Arabidopsis thaliana: one gene and its partners. The protein of the gene in region 1 interacts with the protein of each later gene in a pairwise test. Each region holds a gene or a part of one and is shown in the gene's direction. Other genes may lie near its edges.

What was found.
Region 2: the proteins of TGA7 (region 1) and IMB1 interact in binary tests that used the Arabidopsis thaliana proteins (3 or more experiments, as listed by UniProt).
Region 3: the proteins of TGA7 (region 1) and FRU interact in binary tests that used the Arabidopsis thaliana proteins (3 or more experiments, as listed by UniProt).
Region 4: the proteins of TGA7 (region 1) and TCP4 interact in binary tests that used the Arabidopsis thaliana proteins (3 or more experiments, as listed by UniProt).

The regions. Positions count from the first base shown.
Region 1 is NC_003070.9:29,295,937-29,301,670, forward strand, and holds TGA7 (bZIP transcription factor family protein), read left to right. Parts: upstream 1-2,306; 5' UTR 2,307-2,704; intron 2,705-2,854; 5' UTR 2,855-2,904; intron 2,905-3,007; 5' UTR 3,008-3,022; coding exon 3,023-3,211; intron 3,212-3,301; coding exon 3,302-3,391; intron 3,392-3,497; coding exon 3,498-3,557; intron 3,558-3,635; coding exon 3,636-3,713; intron 3,714-3,819; coding exon 3,820-4,125; intron 4,126-4,204; coding exon 4,205-4,435; intron 4,436-4,518; coding exon 4,519-4,671; 3' UTR 4,672-5,009; downstream 5,010-5,734. Other genes in the region: AT1G77910 (uncharacterized protein), read left to right, coding at 202-471; AT1G77930 (Chaperone DnaJ-domain superfamily protein), read left to right, coding at 5,248-5,491, 5,709-5,734.
Region 2 is NC_003071.7:14,722,090-14,727,795, reverse strand, and holds IMB1 (Transcription factor GTE6), read left to right. Parts: upstream 1-2,111; 5' UTR 2,112-2,233; coding exon 2,234-2,251; intron 2,252-2,612; coding exon 2,613-2,741; intron 2,742-2,812; coding exon 2,813-3,025; intron 3,026-3,199; coding exon 3,200-3,277; intron 3,278-3,394; coding exon 3,395-3,610; intron 3,611-3,685; coding exon 3,686-3,784; intron 3,785-3,884; coding exon 3,885-3,943; intron 3,944-4,029; coding exon 4,030-4,180; intron 4,181-4,265; coding exon 4,266-4,463; 3' UTR 4,464-4,783; downstream 4,784-5,706. Other genes in the region: AT2G34910 (root hair specific protein), read right to left, coding at 30-896. UniProt on the Arabidopsis thaliana protein: Transcription activator that plays a role in the promotion of seed germination by both negatively and positively regulating the abscisic acid (ABA) and phytochrome A (phyA) transduction pathways, respectively.
Region 3 is NC_003071.7:12,002,819-12,007,360, forward strand, and holds FRU (FER-like regulator of iron uptake), read left to right. Parts: upstream 1-1,839; 5' UTR 1,840-1,894; coding exon 1,895-2,371; intron 2,372-2,452; coding exon 2,453-2,653; intron 2,654-2,728; coding exon 2,729-2,905; intron 2,906-2,988; coding exon 2,989-3,090; 3' UTR 3,091-3,177; coding exon of another isoform or gene 3,178-3,185; 3' UTR 3,186-3,458; downstream 3,459-4,542. Other genes in the region: ATCHX7 (Cation/hydrogen exchanger family protein), read right to left, coding at 3,553-3,999, 4,194-4,542. UniProt on the Arabidopsis thaliana protein: Transcription factor. Essential protein involved in iron uptake responses. Regulates FRO2 at the level of mRNA accumulation and IRT1 at the level of protein accumulation. Confers enhanced iron mobilization responses at low iron supply.
Region 4 is NC_003074.8:5,059,421-5,065,211, forward strand, and holds TCP4 (TCP family transcription factor 4), read left to right. Parts: upstream 1-2,260; 5' UTR 2,261-2,887; coding exon 2,888-4,150; 3' UTR 4,151-4,178; intron 4,179-4,260; 3' UTR 4,261-4,732; downstream 4,733-5,791. UniProt on the Arabidopsis thaliana protein: Transcription factor playing a pivotal role in the control of morphogenesis of shoot organs by negatively regulating the expression of boundary-specific genes such as CUC genes, probably through the induction of miRNA (e.g. miR164).

The DNA.
Region 1 (5,734 bases):
AAGCAATGATAAAAGAAGCCCATCACCTTCCTTTGCTTTTAAATTATTCATAATTTATGAAAGAAACAAAAAAAATTATTATTTTTATTTTTGCTTCTCTTCCGGTAAGTCAAAGGAGATAATATTAAGAGTTTAGATATTAATCTCTTAAATTCTGTGTTCATTTTAAGATTTTGTAGCAAAAGTTTATTATTACTAATCATGTGGTTGTACTGCATGTTTAACCAACATGAAAGAATATGTATTCATTTTTTCGGAATGCGAAATAAGAGAATCAATCTCAGTTCAGTTCAAGTTCGAATCTTTGAACGACATGCGGTTTATATAAAAGGAACTATAGTATATAAATATATATTTATATATATGCCTCCTTTAATAGATTTTCTTATATTCCTTCTTTGTTTTGTAATTTATGGAGAATATTTACTATGTATTCTTCATGAAGCAATTTTACAAATATTCGAATTTTAATTTTTCCTTTTTTGAACGTCTGATGATCGATCATTCGCGTGCACAAGAATCTCATCAGGGCATGATAGATTCGAAATTTTGATTTGCTCAGTTACGATATATCTTTGATTATTCTTCCTACGGCGGTTTAAACCTAAAAACAAGTTTTCATGTTTTATTCACCTAGATTGGTTTCAAGTGTATTTTCTAACCACTATTTTTTTCAAGAAAACGGGAAACAAACAGAAACTATTTCTGGTGCAAAATATAGTCTGAAAATAGTAGAATGCAATCCATATCAATCTTGAAAGATATATTTTTTTAAAGTGTACTTGAGAAGAATGTAAGAAATAAGAGATTAAAAAAGGTACGGAGAAGATAACGAGAAAAGCAATAAAATGCATAACTTTTGTAGTCATAACGAAAAAAAGGAGAAAGAAGATAATGAAAATAGTGGAAGATCGGTGTCTTCGTGATGAATTAAAGTAGAATTGTGTGTACGTAACTTTTGTAATCATACTTTCTTTTTCTTCATCAACTATAAGACGTAACAATGATATCTATAATGCATGCATATAGTTTTAAAATTATCTAGGTTCTTGACCAAGGCTTAGTTAGCTCGGTAAGTTTCTAAGAACTTCGATTTACCAATAAATCAAGCCAAACTATATATGATCTTTCGCGATGCCAATTGATATTCTGACAGGATCATACAATATTGTTGCTTTTCTTGTATTTATTTATTTGCGTATCACCGCACCGATTCATATTTATTATAGTATATAGATTGGAAAAACAATATAGAGGGACTCTTTATTAAAGTAAAACCAAGAGAGGAAATAAAACTGAATAAGAAAATAAACAAACATGCTTGTCTTTGTCGAACACACAGATTTTTATTACACAAGTGGTTCCGAACTAATTAAGATTCCTAATTTTAAAATAATAAAGAGATTTAAAAATGTTATCTTTTGTGTTTGGTAGGCCATTAAAGCTCCAATTATTTGTCACTAAGTCAGGGAAGGAGACTAAGCATAAAGACGCCACTGCATAAACCTTATGGTCCCCTCAAAATAAACCTAAAGTTGTAAAAGAAAGAAAATAAAAACATAACGTTGATAAAATAAAATTTGAAGAAAGAAAATCCTACATCTTTGTACCACCTATATGAACCTAACTTATAGGGAAAAAGACATTGATTCTTTTGCAGACCCATCAGCGTGCATGTCCAAAAAGATGTGAAAATGGTTTCGAAAATTATGGATTGGTCATGATCAGTTAGACGATAATTCGGGCTATGATTATGAATATATATTTATATTTAAAAGGATGAATCTTTTCAACTTTAGATATTCTAATTATAGTATAAATCATGATCATTTTATCATTTACGACATGTTTAAATCGCCGTAACATACATAGAAACATATGAAACGATTTTACATATATGACAATTCAATTTATATATATACTACAAAACGTACGGTTCTATATACACTACATTTATGATAAACTTCGAACTTGTCTATAGTTTAAGAAAATCTGTTGCTGCTGTCAAAAGCACTAAATCTTTGATCAACCAATAAATCAAAAGTTTCCCACGATACCAAAATTTAAAGAAACGGGGGAAAAGTATATTTGTTCTGTTAAAACTATTTATTATTTGAACCCTAAAACATAAGACTCTTTCCAATTCTGGAATGCAAATAAATTATACACCACCGGAATAATCGACTGAACTTGGTACGTGTCGACATCGGAAGGTATTTCAGCTCTTGGTAGATGACATCACGTCGTGCGTACCTCAGAAATTAAAGCGCACGATAAGGTCACCTTCTCGGCTTTGCCAAAGATGCATCTCTCTCTTGCGTTTTGTTTGTCGTTAAACGTTTCGTTCCTTTAAATTGATTGTGATTATTTCTTAATAAACTTGATTACTATTATTAATTCTTTAACTTAAATATTACTCTAATGGTGATGCCGTGATGGTCACAAATAAATGAAATAGAAAAAGACCAAAACAAAAAAAAAAAATCCTTTTTTCCTCTCTTTTACATGATGGGAACTCTTGACCTTTAAGTTTTTTTTTTTTGTGACAGGAAGTGTTCAAAGGAACGAAATACACTTCTTCTTCCATTTGATGTCTGTGGTCCGAATGAAAAATATCTCTGTATTAACCAGAAACGTGTTTCATAAGCATCTTTAACTCTTCAGCTCTCAAATTCTTCATGAATATCTCTGCTTATCGATCAAGGTTTGTTAAATTTTCCCTCCCTCTCTGTTTTTCACTTGAAACGTTTGGATCTTGGAGAATTTGGAGTTTCTCGTGTGTTTTTTTTAGTTCCAAACTTTATATTAGTTTTAAAAATGATTAAGAGTTTATTCTGTTTATGGTTTGTATCAGTGAGAGCAAATGCAATTTTTAAGAGCCAGCTATTGGATCTATAACTGAAGGTGAGGCAACACAAAACTTTCTTTTTTCTTTCTGCTTTGATCTATTCTTGTGCATGTTTTTGAAAGATTCTAAATTACCAACTATGATTGGTTTGATATGTAGAGGATATATATAGAGATGATGAGTTCTTCTTCTCCAACACAACTTGCATCTTTAAGAGACATGGGAATCTATGAGCCATTTCAACAAATTGTCGGTTGGGGAAATGTTTTCAAATCTGATATCAATGATCATAGTCCCAATACTGCTACTTCCTCTATTATTCAGGTTGATCCTAGAATTGATGATCACAACAACAACATCAAGGTTAACTAGTTTTCTTCTTTCAAGATTCATTGATTTTTGAAAGTTGTTGTTACTTGTTTTTTTACTAATGGGTTTTTAAATCACGTGCAGATAAATTATGATTCTTCTCATAACCAGATCGAAGCAGAACAACCTTCTAGTAATGATAATCAAGATGATGATGGCAGGATTCATGATAAGGTTTAGATCAAAACAAAGCTAATTATGTTTTCTTTTTTATACATGCATAATAGAAAATGGTGGTTTTTGTGATATTGATTGATATTCTTTTGTCATATGCCAATAGATGAAACGGCGTTTAGCGCAGAACCGAGAAGCGGCTCGCAAAAGTCGTTTGAGAAAGAAGGTAGAAGCAAGTCCCTTTATTGAATCTCATATAGTTTAGTTAGTTGCTACTAAGTCCTCTTTTTTTTTGTATCTTTAGGCTTATGTTCAGCAGTTAGAGGAAAGCCGGTTAAAGTTATCGCAGTTAGAGCAAGAACTCGAAAAGGTTAAGCAGCAGGTGAGCTAGGTCAAAAGATATGTTTAAAATGTTCTGTTTTGAGTCTCTATCAAGAAAATCAGTTTTGGTTTCGTAATTGACTCAGTACTAAATGTTTTCTTTCAAGGGCCATTTAGGACCATCTGGGAGTATTAACACAGGGATTGCATCATTTGAGATGGAATATTCACACTGGCTACAAGAACAAAGCAGAAGAGTTAGCGAACTACGAACAGCGCTTCAATCTCATATAAGCGACATAGAACTCAAGATGCTAGTAGAGAGTTGCTTGAACCATTACGCTAATCTTTTCCAAATGAAATCCGATGCAGCAAAAGCCGATGTTTTCTACTTGATATCGGGAATGTGGCGAACTTCAACCGAAAGATTCTTCCAATGGATTGGAGGGTTTCGTCCATCCGAACTTTTAAACGTAAAAATACCCAAAATGTTACAATCTCTAACAAAAACATTTTCAAAATGTAATATTTTCTCCTTCCCTTTTCTTGTAGGTTGTGATGCCTTATCTTCAACCATTAACGGATCAACAAATCTTGGAAGTGAGAAACCTCCAACAATCATCACAACAAGCAGAGGATGCTCTGTCTCAAGGGATTGATAAACTTCAACAGAGTTTAGCTGAAAGCATTGTGATTGATGCGGTTATCGAGTCCACGCATTATCCCACTCACATGGCTGCAGCTATAGAGAATCTTCAAGCATTAGAAGGATTTGTGAATCAAGTAAGTAGTAAACATTAACTCAAAACAAATTAAGTAAAGTTTGTGTCATTCTATTTCAAACATCTCTATCCTGATTATAACAGGCAGATCATCTGAGGCAACAAACTTTGCAACAAATGGCGAAGATCTTAACGACAAGACAATCGGCTCGAGGTTTACTAGCTTTAGGAGAGTATCTTCATAGACTTCGTGCTCTTAGTTCTCTTTGGGCAGCTCGTCCACAAGAACCAACTTAAAAGAGGAACTTATTAAAACTTTAAAAACAAGAAACAGCAGAATCAAAAGTCTTGAAGAAGCATACTCATCACAAAGCTTGGAAGGATGTTTTAAAAAAGATCTTTGTTAATTAAGTAGAGTGAGATTCTCTTGATTAGAACTTTATGGTTTTTGCTTTATGAAGTATCTCTCCAGAGAAGATTGTAAATTTGGGTTGAAACTTTGTAATATATTTAGATACAACAAATAAGTTTGAAATCTGAGCAATTTGATAATATGTGTACTGAATGTATATTTAATGTATTATTAAGGGACTAATGTGAAACTCAATAAATCAAAGGGTACTATTGTAATTTTCCCATCGTTGCGCTTCAGTCGTCCACAAAAAAACTTCCGTTGGAATTTTCTGAGGAAAATGAGAAAATTCAATTGAAGAAAAGAGTAAAGAAGAAGTCTCTTGTTCGGTTGGATTTTTCAGGAATTTCATTTTCGTGAGCTTACTTGTTCGTTCATATAAAGAGGTGGAATTTGATTTATATGAATTTTGATTTCTGGGTTTACGAAATTGATCGGTTTCTGGGTTGGAACTTGAAGTTATGAGCAATCTTCGAGCTATCTGTAGACCATACTCTGTGTTCTCTTCGATTGTGTGTTGTAGTAGACATCAAAGTCGATCACTTTTTAGGGTTTCGATTAAAAACGTCGCCTTTAGAAACCAGAGTTCGAATTCGTCTTGGTTTAGGTCTAAAAATTCGAATCTTTGGTTTCGTTTGAATCAGAGGAAGACTCTAGTTAGAGCATCGAATTGGAGCCAAGAGAAATCTCCTTACGATACTCTCGGTAAGCTTCTTCTACCAATTCGGGAATTTTATGTATCTTACAGTTTCCTTTGATGTGGTTGTTGATTCACAAGTTTGTGATTCTATTCGATTCATTGGAGTGGTTCTGTTGTTTTGGTTACTGTTTGTGACTTGTGTCAGAAGAATTTGACAAGAAGTCTTTGTGTTGTGTTTCGTGTTTCTGATATGGTTCTATGTTGTATGAATTTGAGTAACAGAGTTGGATAGAAATGCAGAGGAAGAA
Region 2 (5,706 bases), on another chromosome or scaffold:
TGCTCTGTTTTTTTTATTTTGTGTGTGTTTCACGCGTTCTGTGCTGCTAAGAACGTATTGAAGTCATCTCTAGCTTTCAACAGTCTTGGGGTAATACATGTTCGCGGCGAAGCTGGGCACGAATCCGAGGTTGTGGTCGAGAATCTGACACGGCGTTGCGGGGATGTCTCAGCCAAATCCCTTAATTGTCTTCCAGACAGAGAACTGCTTTTCTTTAGAACGCTTCTCAAAGCTAGACTTCCTGTTTCCTTGTCAAAGAAGAAACCAGAACTCACTGGTTCTTGCACATCTCCACCGCCACATTTGATCATCTCCACCGGTAGATCGATATACAATCTGCCGTTTTCGCGGGTTAGAGCTGTCGTTGAAGCCCATGATCCACATTCGAATTTCTCTAGCGAGGCACTTAGTGAGACAGTGGAATTTGAGAATGATGACGCTTTGATCATTTTCTTCTTTATAGAGTCCTCGCTTTTTGGTGATCGCACAGGTCTTTTTCCAAACCCGGGGAGGGATAAACAGAACGCATTGCACTTGAAATTTTCTTCTTCTTGGTAGAAGTTTTTCTCGGGATACCGAGATTTTCGTAGAGAAAGCATGGATTCTTGGTGGCTAAGCTTCTTCCGTGGTTTCATCATCGGCTCAGGAAGAACAGGAAGAGGCACAGCGTTGTCTCTTGGCGGAGACATTGCCAGAGGTAAGACCATTCTGAAGCTCTCTTCGTTCAGCGATGGGCGAGAGACAGTCATCTGGTTCTGCAGAGTCGCCTTCTGCACCAAGAAATTAATATTAGGGTTAGGGTTTTCTCCGGGATAAACGCTGAAACCCTGCCACTCGTCGTTGCTCCATTTTTGGGTTAAACCATCTTCAAACACAACCAATGCTGGAGGAGACATAACAAAGTCAGAAATCTTAAGACGATGTACTAAAGATGATGAAGGAAAAGGTTTGATTTTTAGGGTTTAGGGTTAGAATTTTCAGAATATATAGAGATGGGGGAAGAAGTGGAAAGCACGTCTATGTCGGCGTGGAGAAGTAGTGACTAACATGTTGGGATGTTAATACAGAGGCGGTCTGACGAAGAAGGTACATGATAACATTTGAATATACTAAATCCGTGTCTCCACATTTTGACCATTAGCTTATTATCAGTGTTAGGTACGTGTGTGATAATCAAATGAATTGAGAATCTTGACAAAATATATATAAAATGATTTGCGAATTAATAAGAAAAGATATTTCGTTGCTCGAACATTGCATGTTTCTTGGATGTTGAATCTATACTACATTTGAACGATATGATATGTCTTCATAATTTTCTATGACGGTCAATCAAAAAGATGTTTTAAAAGTATTTTAAAATGGAGTGTTATTTATTGTTAGTAACTTAGTATACATTAATGGCATTTGCCACGCCAAGAAACCAAAAAATGCAAAAGAATTGTGGGATAGAGTTTTTAGTATTTAAATGAATTTATAGACCCATTGTAGCTCTTCTAGATAATAGTATTATTTTTGATGTTGTTTTTGTGTTCCCAAGTTCAAAATTTGATGAGAAAAGATGATTTATGCCTCATAGTTTTCGAACCAAGGGGAGAGACATCTGCAACTTTCTTGTTATGTTTTTTTTAATAGATTTATAGGCAATTTAACTACAACTACCGTAAGACATTTTTTATTTTAATTCAATTGACGATGTAGGAAAATATTTTCAAACTTTTGATGTTACTGAAATATTTCATGCCTTGTATCGTTTATTAAGGAAGTGTTAGAATGATCTTTTAGTTAATTTATACTTTTGCACACAAAAAAGAAGTTAATTTATACCAAAATAAATAAATTAAACTCATTATATGTGTGATATTTCAGATGATTTCAAGTATGATTTTTTTTCTTCTTTTCAGAACCAAACTAAAAGACTATAATAAAAGTCAATTTTACATTATCAAGAATAAAAATTTACTATATTACTATTTTTAGAAATGGAAGATGCAACCCAATATTTTAACTGGTTGTTGAAAATTAAACCGCGTAATTGGAATGTTGGTTGAATAATGGGCCGAACAGAGAAGCCCAAATTGATAAAAAGGTTAAAGTTTTTTGAAAAGCCTATTCGTTCTAAACCCTAAACCGGAGCAAAGCGTTAGCTGCTGTCTCTTCCGTCTTCGTCCTCCGACCTCTGTCTTTCTTCTGATCCTTCGAAAAAGCTCTCGTGAGTCACTACTCTTCTCTAATGTCTGTACATGTCAAGGTACATAAGCTTATTATTACTTCCTGATTATAGTTGCAATCACTTTCCTTTGTTGATTCTATACCCTTACTTTTGACATTTTGGCTTACCTTTGCTTCCGTCTCGATAAGCTTAGTTGTTTTTGTTGACAATTCCCAATTTTTTAGATTAGGGTTATCATAAAGTGTCAAACTTTATTCAATTTAAACTCTTTTGAGTAACTAGAATGGTATAGAGACTCAATTCTCAGTTATAATTATTGTAGAAAGATGCAATTCAGAGGATTGTGTTCGATTTTGAAGTTTAGTTAACTCAAAAATGTTTGTTCTTTTAAGGTTTGTGCTGTCTTGAAGCTTTTTGATGAGTTTCTGTCATTGTTTAGGAAGAACCTGTGCTTGTTCCAAACTGCGATGTCGAGAATACAGAGCTTGCAGTTTTCAATGGAAATGGAGAAAGTGAGCTTGAGAATTTTGGGACTTGCGTAGATGAGATAACAGATAGAGTGAATCAGGTGACAATTGCTTTCACTTGGCACTGCTACTTTCTTGGTTTCAAATCTCTTACCCCTATATTGGAGTGCAGCTTGAGCAAAAAGTTGTGGAGGTCGAACACTTTTACTCTACAAAAGATGGAGCTGCTCAAACTAACACTTCTAAGAGTAACTCGGGCGGGAAGAAGATCGCTATTTCTCAACCAAACAACTCGAAGGGTAACTCGGCCGGGAAAGAAAAATCAAAGGGAAAACATGTTTCCAGCCCTGACCTTATGCGTCAATTTGCAACAATGTTTCGTCAGGCAAGCAAGAAAAATATACCCTCTTTGTCTCTATGATACTATTCTCAGATTATGACGAAAATCGAAAGCCTGGATCTTAGATTACTTTGTTTAATGCGTCCTTAGTTTACCAAATTTATATTGTTTACTCAGTGTTTGCTGCATCTAAAACTTTCATCTTCTTATACCTCTTAGATTGCTCAACATAAATGGGCATGGCCGTTCTTGGAGCCTGTTGATGTTAAAGGACTTGGACTACATGATTATTACAAGGTAAAGATTCAAACTGTTGCTAATATACTGTGGGTTAAATATTCCATGTTTACATGGAATTTTGCTGAAATGAGCGATTTTGAAAAATGTTCATAGCTTCTGTTCATTACTTAACAGGTTATAGAGAAGCCAATGGACTTGGGAACAATTAAAAAAAAAATGGAGAGTTCGGAGTATAGCAATGTCAGGGAGATATATGCCGATGTTAGACTAGTTTTCAAGAACGCGATGAGATACAATGAAGAAAAAGAAGATGTTTATGTGATGGCTGAATCTCTTCTGGAGAAATTTGAGGAGAAATGGCTCCTGATAATGCCTAAACTTGTGGAGGAGGTACACCAAATGTTCAGTTTCCAAGTATTCGTCTTTGTAATATCAGTGATGTGTTAACTGTGATGTTATGAACAGGAAAAGAAACAAGTAGACGAAGAAGCGGAGAAGCATGCCAATAAGCAGCTTACAATGGAGGCTGCACAAGCGGAAATGGCTAGGGATTTAAGCAACGAAGTAAGCAAATGCAAAACCAATTATCAGCTGTTGATCTATTTCATTTCAGGCCATTTATTATAGCTGTGGGTTGATGAGTTTGCTTTGTACGTATCTTTAGCTATATGAGATTGATCTGCAGCTGGAGAAACTCCGGGAATCAGTAGTTCAGAGATGCAGGTATAAATAACCTCTTCTGTTGATCATTTTTACCCTTAATGAAGGGTTCGTAACCGAGTTTTTGGTGTGGTTTTGGAAATAAACAGAAAACTGTCCACTCAAGAAAAGAAAGGACTTTCTGCAGCTCTAGGTCGTCTCTCACCTGAGGATCTGTCTAAGGCGTTAAAAATGGTTTCAGAGAGCAACCCGAGTTTCCCGGCTGGAGCACCAGAAGTCGAGCTTGACATTGATGTTCAGGTCAACACCAAAATCTTCCTTATTTCTTTGTGGTTTTGCATCAGATATTCAGGTTTTAACGGTTTCCTCTCTTGTTTGTGAACAGACTGACGTTACATTGTGGAGACTGAAGGTGTTTGTGCAAGAAGCATTGAAAGCAGCTAACAAAAGCTCTGGAGGAACAAACGCTCAAAACAATAACAATACTGGAACTGGAGAGATCAACAAGAACAATGCAAAAAGACGGAGAGAGATCTCTGATGCAATCAATAAAGCTTCAATTAAAAGAGCTAAGAAAGCTTGAATCTCTCTCTATCTCTTGATGTGTTTATTGATACAGAAGGAACAAGAGTTTGGTGAACACCAATCTAAATTAGAAACTTTCCAGTTCCATTGCGCATGTTGCTTCAAATGTTGAGCACAATGTAAAAAAGAATGAATGGGAAAAAAATCTGAGCTATAGAGGAGATATAAAGAAGACTGCTTGAGGGAGAAATTCTGACAAATCTTCTAATAAAATCTTCAGTTTGAGAGATCTTTGGTGTGTTGAACGTTTCTTCGATTTCATTACCTTAAACCTCGGCACTTATAATTTAAAATCAATTTTTAAAAATGATAATATGATGTTTTGACCCAAAAAAATAATTAAAAAAAATGATAATATGATGTAGGGATTTGAAAACTAATAACATACGTGAATCTACAAACATATAATTTTTTAGTACTAAAGAGTATGACCACATGCTTCATTCTACTGCAATATGAACACAAATATGTCCAAACACCAAACCAATGAGATAATATGGGAAATTTGCTAAACTTCAAACATGACATTTAACAACCTATTCACTTGTTTTTGAAGATTTCGATTTTTTTTTACAAATTTGATAGTATATGAAAGATATGTGCAATTGTAAGACGATACAAAAACAAGCAAGAGAAGATCAAGGAACGATTTATTCAAGAATGCCAATAGGCTATGAGTAATCTTAGCTATAAAGTGAAAACAAGGTTTACTTTTGGGCCTTTAGCTCAATGTCTATTTCACCATAGATTAATCTTTGCCCAAACATGGAATAACACCAACAAGTATGGGGTGCAAATAGTTGTACATTTAGATGAAAAAAGTATGTTAAACAAAATTGGCATCTATTTGTCACCATATGTTCAACACTTTCATCTTTCTCAACTCAGATTGTTTCCAATCATTCATCTACGCACAATCATTTGCACCCATAATCTACTTTCATGGTCGAATAACTTTTTTTGTAGTTCCCAATAGCTTACATCAAGAGTTTCCAAAGGGCGATTGAAAGTGTCGAAACGATGGGACATTACATAATAGTTTGTGCTATCGTAGTTTCTATCTTTAGCACAAACTTTCCGAGAACTTTCTATGGTTCTATCTTTAGGTTTTAAAAATTTAAGATGACAAAAATGATAACTAGATATTTAATATAAAAAAGGCAAAAGTGTTAAACACATGTCTGGTTGGCCATTCTTCTCAAATCCACCATCATTATATATGTTGTAGATATTTATTTCAT
Region 3 (4,542 bases), on another chromosome or scaffold:
GCTAGTTGACATGCATAAAGGTTAGAGGAAAAAGAAAAGGAAAAAAGAAAAAAGTTTGTCAAAATATTTTGCTTCATAAGTTTGTGACTTATTCAGAGTTATGTTTCTAAAGATGTGATAGGTACAGCAAAATTGTATTTGTTCCAAATGTCAATTAGTGAAGAAAAGAAAAAGAGTTGTCATATTTGTTGGAGTACTGAAAGATAATCATGTGGCAAAAAAAAAACGAAATAGGAAGAATTTCAGTAAAAATTATGCTAGCTTCACATGTATCAAATATATTTGAACCAAAGTATGCCATATTCATGAATTGTTTTTACAACAATTTTTATTTGTTTTAAACTCTAGAGGCTATATGTGAAAAAAAATTTTACAGCAAAAATAAGATTATATCAGAAACATTACAGACCGAAATTTACAGCCACGATCTAACCAAACATCTACTAAATTGACATAATAGCATTATTCAAATATTTATTTGGAAATTGGTTGATGTTTTTGAAAGTTGTGGAGTATCCCAAAAATCCAATGTTGCTCAAAAGTTCAGTTTCTCTAATAAATTCAACACCTAGATGGAATCTATAATTGGTTGACTTTTTTTTTTTTTTTTTTTTTACAGTTATATACCTGAAAAAATATTCCAACTTGAAATATTATAAAGAGTTGATTTTTGTCCTAACCGGCCAAGACTTTAATATTTTATACTGTCTTTCTTTGCTATCCTTTGTTTGTTTGTTGAGACAAGAACGAAAACCGTGCATTGAACAGGCTTCTTCATAATTTAATTGCGGTTTATCCTTAAATGATTTGAAAAATGGAAATGCATTTATCAAAAATAAAAGAAAATAATTGAAATGCTATTATATTCCAGAGTTGGTTTGTTATTTGAAAATTATGCTGGTTTAAGTTTATATTTGAAATTAATTTTGGCCGTTTTTCTACAAAACATATTTATCATATTGGAGTACTTTTTAAATACACTAACATAAAAATGTTGAGAAAAACTTTTGTTAAAATTCTAGCTTGTGACAACTAAACCAGTTGACATCTACAGTTGTAATAAGCCGATTGCAAATTAATTCCTAACATTTTAATAAACAAGAATATATGTGGATCTAAATTCAAAAATATAAACAGTACACTAACATTTGTACGTCTAATATCGTAGTAAACTTTTACTTATGAACACCTTTTTAATACGGTCTGATCGATTTATTTATTTATATAACCAAAACTCATATATATTCATAAACTAAATTATATAGTAACAGGATATATTATGAGCTTAATATACATGCTATATGCCTATATAAGGTCTTAATAACCAAAACTCATAATAATGTATTCATAAACTAAATTATATAGTAATATTTTTGGTATATTTTATAACTTTAAAAAACTCTAAATATTTGTGGTATTTTTGAAAATGGATAAAAATGATATTTTTGGAAAGTAGTATAATTTTAAAAAACTTCTCCCAATAAAGACATGACCAAAAATGTGTGTTATTTCTATATATATTTTTTTTTTTTTTTGATCAACATATACTCTTGTTTCTAATCTGCATTCCCTCCACCACAAAAAAAAATTCAAATGATAAAATATAAAGAAGAACAATGTGGAAATATAATTGTCATGCAACACGACAAATTAATCATTCGAGTAACATAATTTATACATATAATATACAGGTCATGCATGACATTACAAGACGTAACTGAATAAACTAATATCAACCAACTATCAAGAGTACATTTCTTTAAATTTGTTTTAATTGATTTCTTAACTTATTATGTTAATTAATACAGTTTATTTCATACTCACTCTATTATATAAACTCATTTTGTCTCTCTTTCGTTGTCAACAACTTTTCTTCATTGACAAAAACACACAAATGGAAGGAAGAGTCAACGCTCTGTCAAACATAAACGATCTCGAACTTCACAATTTCTTGGTCGATCCAAACTTCGATCAGTTCATAAACCTCATAAGAGGAGATCATCAAACCATTGACGAAAACCCAGTTCTTGATTTCGATCTTGGTCCATTACAAAACAGCCCCTGTTTCATAGACGAGAACCAGTTCATCCCAACACCTGTCGATGACCTCTTCGACGAATTGCCTGACTTAGACTCCAACGTTGCTGAATCATTCCGTAGCTTCGACGGTGATAGTGTTAGAGCCGGTGGTGAAGAAGATGAAGAAGATTACAACGACGGTGATGATTCTTCAGCCACTACTACGAATAATGATGGGACCCGTAAGACGAAGACTGATCGGTCTAGGACTTTGATCTCTGAGAGAAGAAGGAGAGGGCGTATGAAGGATAAGCTTTATGCATTGAGATCTCTTGTTCCCAATATTACTAAGGTAAGTCACAACATTTTCAAGATTTGGTAATGACTAATGAAACTGTAAATATTGATGAAGTATGTGTGTGTTGGCATTTAGATGGATAAAGCATCCATTGTTGGAGATGCAGTGTTGTATGTTCAAGAACTTCAGTCACAAGCGAAGAAACTCAAATCCGATATCGCGGGTCTTGAAGCTTCTTTAAACTCTACTGGAGGGTACCAAGAACATGCTCCTGATGCTCAAAAGACTCAACCTTTTCGCGGTATCAATCCTCCTGCTTCCAAAAAAATCATTCAGGTAATAACCTAAAAAAACCAATCAATCTTCTTGAAACATCAAAGTGTTTAAAGTTTGTATGTTTTGTTGTGTTAGATGGATGTTATACAAGTGGAGGAGAAAGGGTTTTATGTGAGATTGGTGTGTAACAAAGGAGAAGGTGTTGCTCCATCTCTTTACAAGTCTTTGGAGTCTCTTACAAGTTTCCAAGTGCAGAACTCTAACCTAAGCTCTCCTTCTCCGGACACATACCTCTTAACATATACCTTAGATGTAAATCAACTTGTGCCCTTTTACTTTGTTTTGTTTCCGAGTATACCGTTTACTTACCGAGTTTTCTTGTGTGGTGGAAACAGGGGACATGCTTCGAACAGAGCTTAAACTTGCCTAACCTGAAGCTGTGGATCACTGGATCACTTTTAAATCAAGGTTTTGAATTCATCAAGTCATTTACTTGATTCTATAACGCTTGCTCTAACGTGAGTCAAATCCGGTTCTGCACTATATTGATTGTGTACCTTTCTTACATGTTTCATAACTTCCAGGGCTCTAATTTCTATTCTAGTGATGATGTAACCGAGATTGTTGATTCTCTATTGAATAAACACCATGTTATATAGTAATTTAGCGACAAATTGTATGGTTAAATGAAGTAATATTTATGTTTTGTTTATAGTCTCAAGTCTTAAGTTTCTTTTGCTTTGATATATCACGTTTTGGTTCATTGGCTGTATTATTGCTTTGTTGTTGCAAGACCATTCACATCTTGATTCTATGTATTGTTCTCTGTTTGATTGGTAAAAGAATAAAGAATTTTAACCCCGAGAAAGCAGTACAGACGACCTATATGGATCGCCGACTCAACTCTAGGAACCTAATTTGTGCTTTGGATATTCATAACATGGTAAAACAAAAAGATTCTAATATTGTTGCTGTTGCAAGACCAAGACAGATGCCCTTGAAGGAAACTCCTTTGACGCTATAACATCTCCGAGGGCTCCAAGTTCCTCGAACTCTGTCCATTCATTTAATCCTTTTGTAACTGCGCTATTCATTCCGCTACTTCTTCCAACTATAAACAAATCATAATCATACGCTATTGATCTAAGTATCACTGAAGTCTCAGCCCCTTCTTTGACGCTTTTTTCTATACATATCCATGAATCATTTTCATTTGAATCCTCAGTCTTCATTATCTCTTTTATGTCATCGTAATCCAACTTCTGCACCGAGTCTTCGCTTTCCTCGGTAGTAAGTTGAGGTATGAGGTGTAAGATGGTTACGCTTGTCTGCTTGTTTCTCCTCATACGGTTGGTGAATGCTAAGGCTTCTTTATCGTCTTTCCCTCCCACAACTATTGCACACACCTGAAATACAAACCACGAGACCAGTTTAGAACTTGTTAAGATCACACATCGGAAGAAATGTGTAGGTACCAACACTAGTATAGAAAAAACATGGGCCAAATATACTAATCGTCGGTTTGTTTTGAGTTGGAAGCCAGACGACCCCAAAAATTAACCATGAGATCTCTTAATTACAAAAGAAAAAAAACAAGTACCTTGTAACATGAGCCGTGCATTTGAGATTCCCATAAAGGTTTCCGGTAGACGAAGATTCCAACAGAGCAAGACGCTCTTTTCAAGACTTTGTGGTTGAGATTCTGCATGGCCTTGTCGTCAGAGACAATGGTTGAGCGGTCAACAGACCAAGAACGGTGAAAAGGAAGTACAACGAGAGCTACATTCTTGTCAAGGGCAAGCCAACAGAGGTCCTCGTGCATGTGCTCTACCAAGCTAGCAGATGTAAAGATGTCAATGGAAATTGCCTCTTTGGTTAAATGTCTACGAAGGCTTAAGAATGCAGTTATGACATTGCGGGAGCAAGAGCGTGTTCCAACCTTCGGCTTT
Region 4 (5,791 bases), on another chromosome or scaffold:
ATTATTTCACTTTTAGAATATTGACCATCCTTGAAACTTTTTTTATATTCTTTTTCTTTTGCCATTCTTGAAACATGATTCCAACTTGTGCATGTTTTTATATTACTGACGAGTGAATGATGACAGACCAAAGAGAGTCATGAATATCCGCAAAGCATTGTGCCTCCATGTTACTATTTTATTTCCATGATAACTTATAAATAACCGATTACTTTGATTAATAAATCATATCTCATGACATTTAAAAAAGATAATATCGTATTTCTCTTCTTTTATAGTCGACTACTACGTCCTTCTTAATGCTCGAAGAGCAAACTAAATAAGATGATCCATACATACTACTTGCCTACTTGGCCATATTGTCAACTACTTTGATGATCACAATATCATTTTGATGAGGCGTATATATATACATTTAATTAATATTGATGTCAAAAACTAAAACTGACGTTAATAATCAATGACATTATTGTGCTTAATTATTGCATTTCATACAAATTTCCCCATAATTAAGAATTTAAATCTCTCGTAATCATTCTATTTTGTTGTGTTGCAAATCGTGACCGTAATTCCAAGTGGAAGCTACTTTTGATTTACATTTAATTAATATGCAACCGTGGGATGACATATATTCTCCTTTTCTCTACTAAACAACCTATTTCATGTTTAAATATTATATTTTGTTTTGTTTGATTAATTATTTTATTGTGTTCGTATTAGGTTTGTTAATTGACCCTTTTCTATCATGCTAATATGTCACTTTCTGATTTATTATTACATTAAAGTAGGTGGTCTAATAGTAATTATTTATATGAATAGTTTTAAACTATCAAATAATGCTGTATACTATATATATTTTTCCAACTAAAAAATTATATAGTTATGATCCTTTGCGTCAAGTTTTTATTATTGCTTTGAAGAAAAAACATATTCAACTACTTGAAAATTACGTTAGCTTACCGTACGTGTGTTCAAATTTAATATGCTACAAAATTGTGTGAACAATATAATAGGTTTGTTGTATTTATTCGTTTTTCACCAATCTGGAGATATTTTGTGGTACAAGTATTATAACCACAATATATTCCATACATGAATTAGTTGTGAGAGTTATAGTCAAATTGGTTGGGATTCAAGAAGCATTATACTATTATTATAGAGTCCCACCAATTATTTTTGAACTCGTAAAATTCTCAAGATCTTAGAAATGTCTCCGTTGAAGCTTAGATTGTCTTTTACTCACCTTTATTAGTTTATTTATACGTCGTATTCTTCAATTTCAAAATACCTTTCATATATGAATTTGGGTGATATGCACACGAACACGATACGGTGAAATCAATTAGTTCCACAAGTCAAAATAGCTAGAAAAGAAGTATTGGATTTTAGAACAAAGAATAACGAGAGTCTTATTGTGTTTGTTACTAGTTTATAGAATCTAAAACAGGATTGCAAAAAACAAAAACATCAAAAACGAAGATGAGAGATGAAAAAAGAAAATCTTAGATTATAAAGAGCCCTAATTGTATTGCTAACTAATATTATATTCTTCTTTTAACGAGTTCGATTTTTCGAATAAAATCTACTTTAGTTAACTATTGAGATTCTTACAACAAAAAGGTAAAAAGAAGTGGAGCATCAACAAGCTTTATGTATTTGCATTGAACTAGCATGGGTCAACCCTTAAAAGAAACCGAGAAGCACAAAAGGTTGAATTGAACCTTGACCCATCTAACACCATAGGTTTTTAGGGTATTTATTCATTTATTGAATTCGGAAACTCGAAAAATAAAGTAGCTAGTTCATTCCAGTGATTTCAACTTTTTAAGTATATAATCCCCATGATTATGTATGTATGTGGACATGTCCACGAAAAGAGTGCCCATTTTCATATCAAGGAAGTTAGTAACTCTGACCAAAAGTAGATGTTTTAACACATCTTAGTATTTTTATATCACACTAAATTAAAGTAGTCTGTTTAATGTATTCTCTTAGAAAATAACATAATGATTTGCATGCACATAACAAATCCTATACTATTATTTTGGTAAACAAATTTGGTTTTGGAAACATCTAACTCTAAAAACCATCATTATTATTATTATTATTTTTTTTCTAATATTTTGGCATCCTACAATTTAGTTTATGATTGTGTTGATTATTATTTGGTTGTATTTGCATCTACACATTAAGTTAAACATTGATTTTAAAAATTAACATGAACAAAATGAATACTTACTGTTAAAACCTTATAACAATCAGATTTTTTTTTTAAACAAAGAATGGAAAAAAATGAATAAATTTGGGAAACGAGGAAGCTTTGGTTACCCAAAAAAGAAAGAAAGAAAAAATAAAAGTATTGAATGTGGAGATGAGAGGAAAAAAACACTTACTGTCATCTTACCCAGTTGCGTCATCATCAAACCCACAACACTCTCTTCCTCTTCCCTCTTCCTTCTGCTTATTTTACTTTTTCTCTTTAACCATTTTCCCGAGAGAGAAAAATAAAAAGAAAAGCTTTCTCTGGGTTTTTCTTGATTGGTCAATTACACATCTCCCTTTCTCTCTTCTCTCTCTCACCTTCGCTTGCTTTGCTTGCTTCATCTCTTTGGTCTCCTTCTTGCGTTTTCTATTTACTACACAGACCAAACAATAGAGAGAGACTTTAAGCTATAGAAAAAAAGAGAGAGATTCTCTCAAATATGGGTTAGTCCACAATTTTCACTAAACCTCTTCTTCTTAGGATTGTTTTTAGGGTTAGGGTTTTGAGGTGAGGAGAGCAAGTATGCGGGAGTTTCATCCTTTTTGAGTTACTCTGGATTCCTCACCCTCTAACGACGACCACCGTCGCCGCCGCCGCCGCCGTCTCGACGAATATGCTCTACCAATGTCTGACGACCAATTCCATCACCCGCCGCCTCCTTCTTCAATGAGGCACCGTTCTACGTCGGATGCGGCGGACGGCGGCTGCGGCGAGATTGTTGAGGTGCAAGGTGGTCACATTGTTCGGTCTACCGGAAGAAAAGACCGCCACAGCAAAGTCTGCACGGCTAAAGGGCCACGTGACCGGCGCGTGAGACTCTCTGCTCACACGGCGATTCAGTTTTACGATGTTCAAGACAGGCTTGGTTTCGACCGACCTAGCAAAGCCGTTGATTGGCTTATCAAAAAGGCTAAGACTTCCATTGACGAGCTCGCTGAGCTTCCTCCCTGGAATCCCGCCGATGCAATTCGCCTAGCCGCTGCTAACGCTAAACCCAGAAGAACCACCGCCAAAACCCAAATCTCTCCGTCTCCGCCACCGCCGCAACAGCAACAACAACAACAACAGCTTCAGTTCGGTGTTGGCTTCAACGGAGGAGGAGCAGAGCATCCGAGTAACAACGAGTCGAGTTTTCTCCCGCCGTCAATGGATTCAGATTCGATAGCTGACACTATAAAGTCGTTTTTTCCGGTGATTGGCTCTTCAACGGAGGCTCCTTCGAATCATAACCTTATGCACAACTATCATCATCAGCATCCGCCGGATTTGCTTTCTCGAACTAATAGCCAAAACCAAGATCTCCGTCTCTCGCTGCAATCGTTCCCGGATGGTCCACCGTCGCTTCTGCACCACCAACATCACCACCACACCTCTGCTTCCGCCTCCGAGCCTACTCTGTTCTACGGACAGAGCAATCCGTTAGGGTTTGACACATCGAGTTGGGAGCAGCAGTCGTCGGAATTCGGAAGGATTCAGAGACTAGTGGCTTGGAACAGCGGCGGTGGCGGCGGAGCAACCGATACAGGAAACGGAGGAGGGTTTCTGTTCGCTCCTCCTACTCCTTCAACGACGTCGTTTCAGCCAGTTCTTGGCCAAAGCCAACAGCTTTATTCTCAGAGGGGTCCCCTTCAGTCCAGTTACAGTCCCATGATCCGTGCTTGGTTTGATCCTCACCATCATCACCAATCCATCTCCACCGACGATCTCAACCACCACCATCACCTTCCTCCACCGGTTCACCAATCAGCAATCCCCGGAATCGGATTCGCCTCAGGTGAATTCTCTTCGGGTTTTCGCATACCAGCACGGTTTCAGGGCCAAGAAGAGGAGCAGCACGACGGTCTCACTCACAAGCCGTCCTCTGCTTCCTCTATTTCTCGCCATTGACAATCGAAACTAATCCTCTAAGTTTCAGGTTTATCTCAAGTTCTGTCCTTTTACATCAAATTCACTACTTTTGTACTTCTTTGGTCATTGAACTTTAAACCATTTTGCAGGGCTTGTCTAGCTTCCATGCACATTGAAGCTTGACTTAGATTGTCCGGAACAGGGAAGGTGTTCTCGGTTTGTGTAGTCAATGGCCTGAATCTAGAAAACGCAAGGAAATGAAGAAAGAACAACAGTTTCAGGTTCTTCTTCTTCTTCTTCCAATATCTTAACCTTGCCGATTGTAATTTTTCATATTTTCACCAGTTAGACCAACGTTCTTCTGTAGCTCAATTATGGTTAGATTCCAAGGTTTCGTCTTGTTGTGTTATGTTTGTAACTTTGTATCATCATCATCCTATTGTTACTGCTCCCTGTTCTTATTGTGTAACTCCGTGGATGTTCTAATAAAGTCTGAAACTTTCTCTTTGGGTTTTACTTTTACTGCTCTGTTCAGGCTAGATCCTTGTTATTTAAACAACATGAGATTCCTATTTCTCACGTAATCTTTTGGTCCCAAGAGATATAAGTTGGTCATTTTCCATGAACAGTAAGTTTTGAATTGTTTCTTCTTCTGGAACATCAGGGGGATTTAGCCAGTTCCCTTAAATTACAAGTGAAACTTAGCTCACTAAGAGTAAAAATATGATTATTGTTTTCTATGTCTGATGTCAATAATTGTTCTCTCTCACCTACTTTAGTGGTAGGAGGAGATCCACCAAACTTGAATGTGATGTTGTCTTTGATGAGTAAAAGAATGGGGACATGAGATAGGTAAAGAGAGCCACCCATGTTGGTCTAAATGAAGGAAGTTGATCAAAACTAGTCTATCTTCTCTATCATCATCATCTTTTGATAATAATATTGGATTTTTGCAAAGTTTAGTCAAAAACACTTGGGGTCTAAATGCATGTGTATTATAAGAATATTTAACTTTACCTTTTAATAGAAAAGCAGCAACACCTTTTCATGTGATGTAATCAAAACACACCAGATGGATGAGTTGAGATATCATAAAGTACGTTTACATCAAAAGATAGAAAAGAAGAATCTTCAATTTAAAGGTCTAATGAGTCATGACACAAAGATCATATCCAATCTACCGTTTATTCTGTCTATTCGTTTGTCAACAGATAAGAAGATCATTAAGTTTGTTCTATAAGACAGTTGTACAGTACAAACTTGTATCAAGTAAAACGTTTCACATTAAACCTCAAAATATCTAATGGGTTGAAGAAGATGGAACCAAAATTGTAAAAGAGCTGTCGCTTTAAGGAATGGTCCCCTCTCTCACACTCTTGTAAGATCTCAATGCTTTTTTGCTAAAGATCTAGTTAAAAAAGTCATAGCCTTTTAGACTCTTGACAAGTCCATAAATAAATTGCATGAATACCAATTTGAAATGAGCAAAAACTGCAAAAAAGAAACACATTAAAAGCACAAAAGGTGATCATTTTTCTCTTTAAAGATTAATCAATTTAGATCATAGGATAAGTGTCAACCTCAGTAAACCATATGTAAGAACTTTCATGGATTCGAACAATGCAAGAATTTTCCGAGACTGTCATTAAGGGATGCATAAATGTGAGACTCAAACCTCAA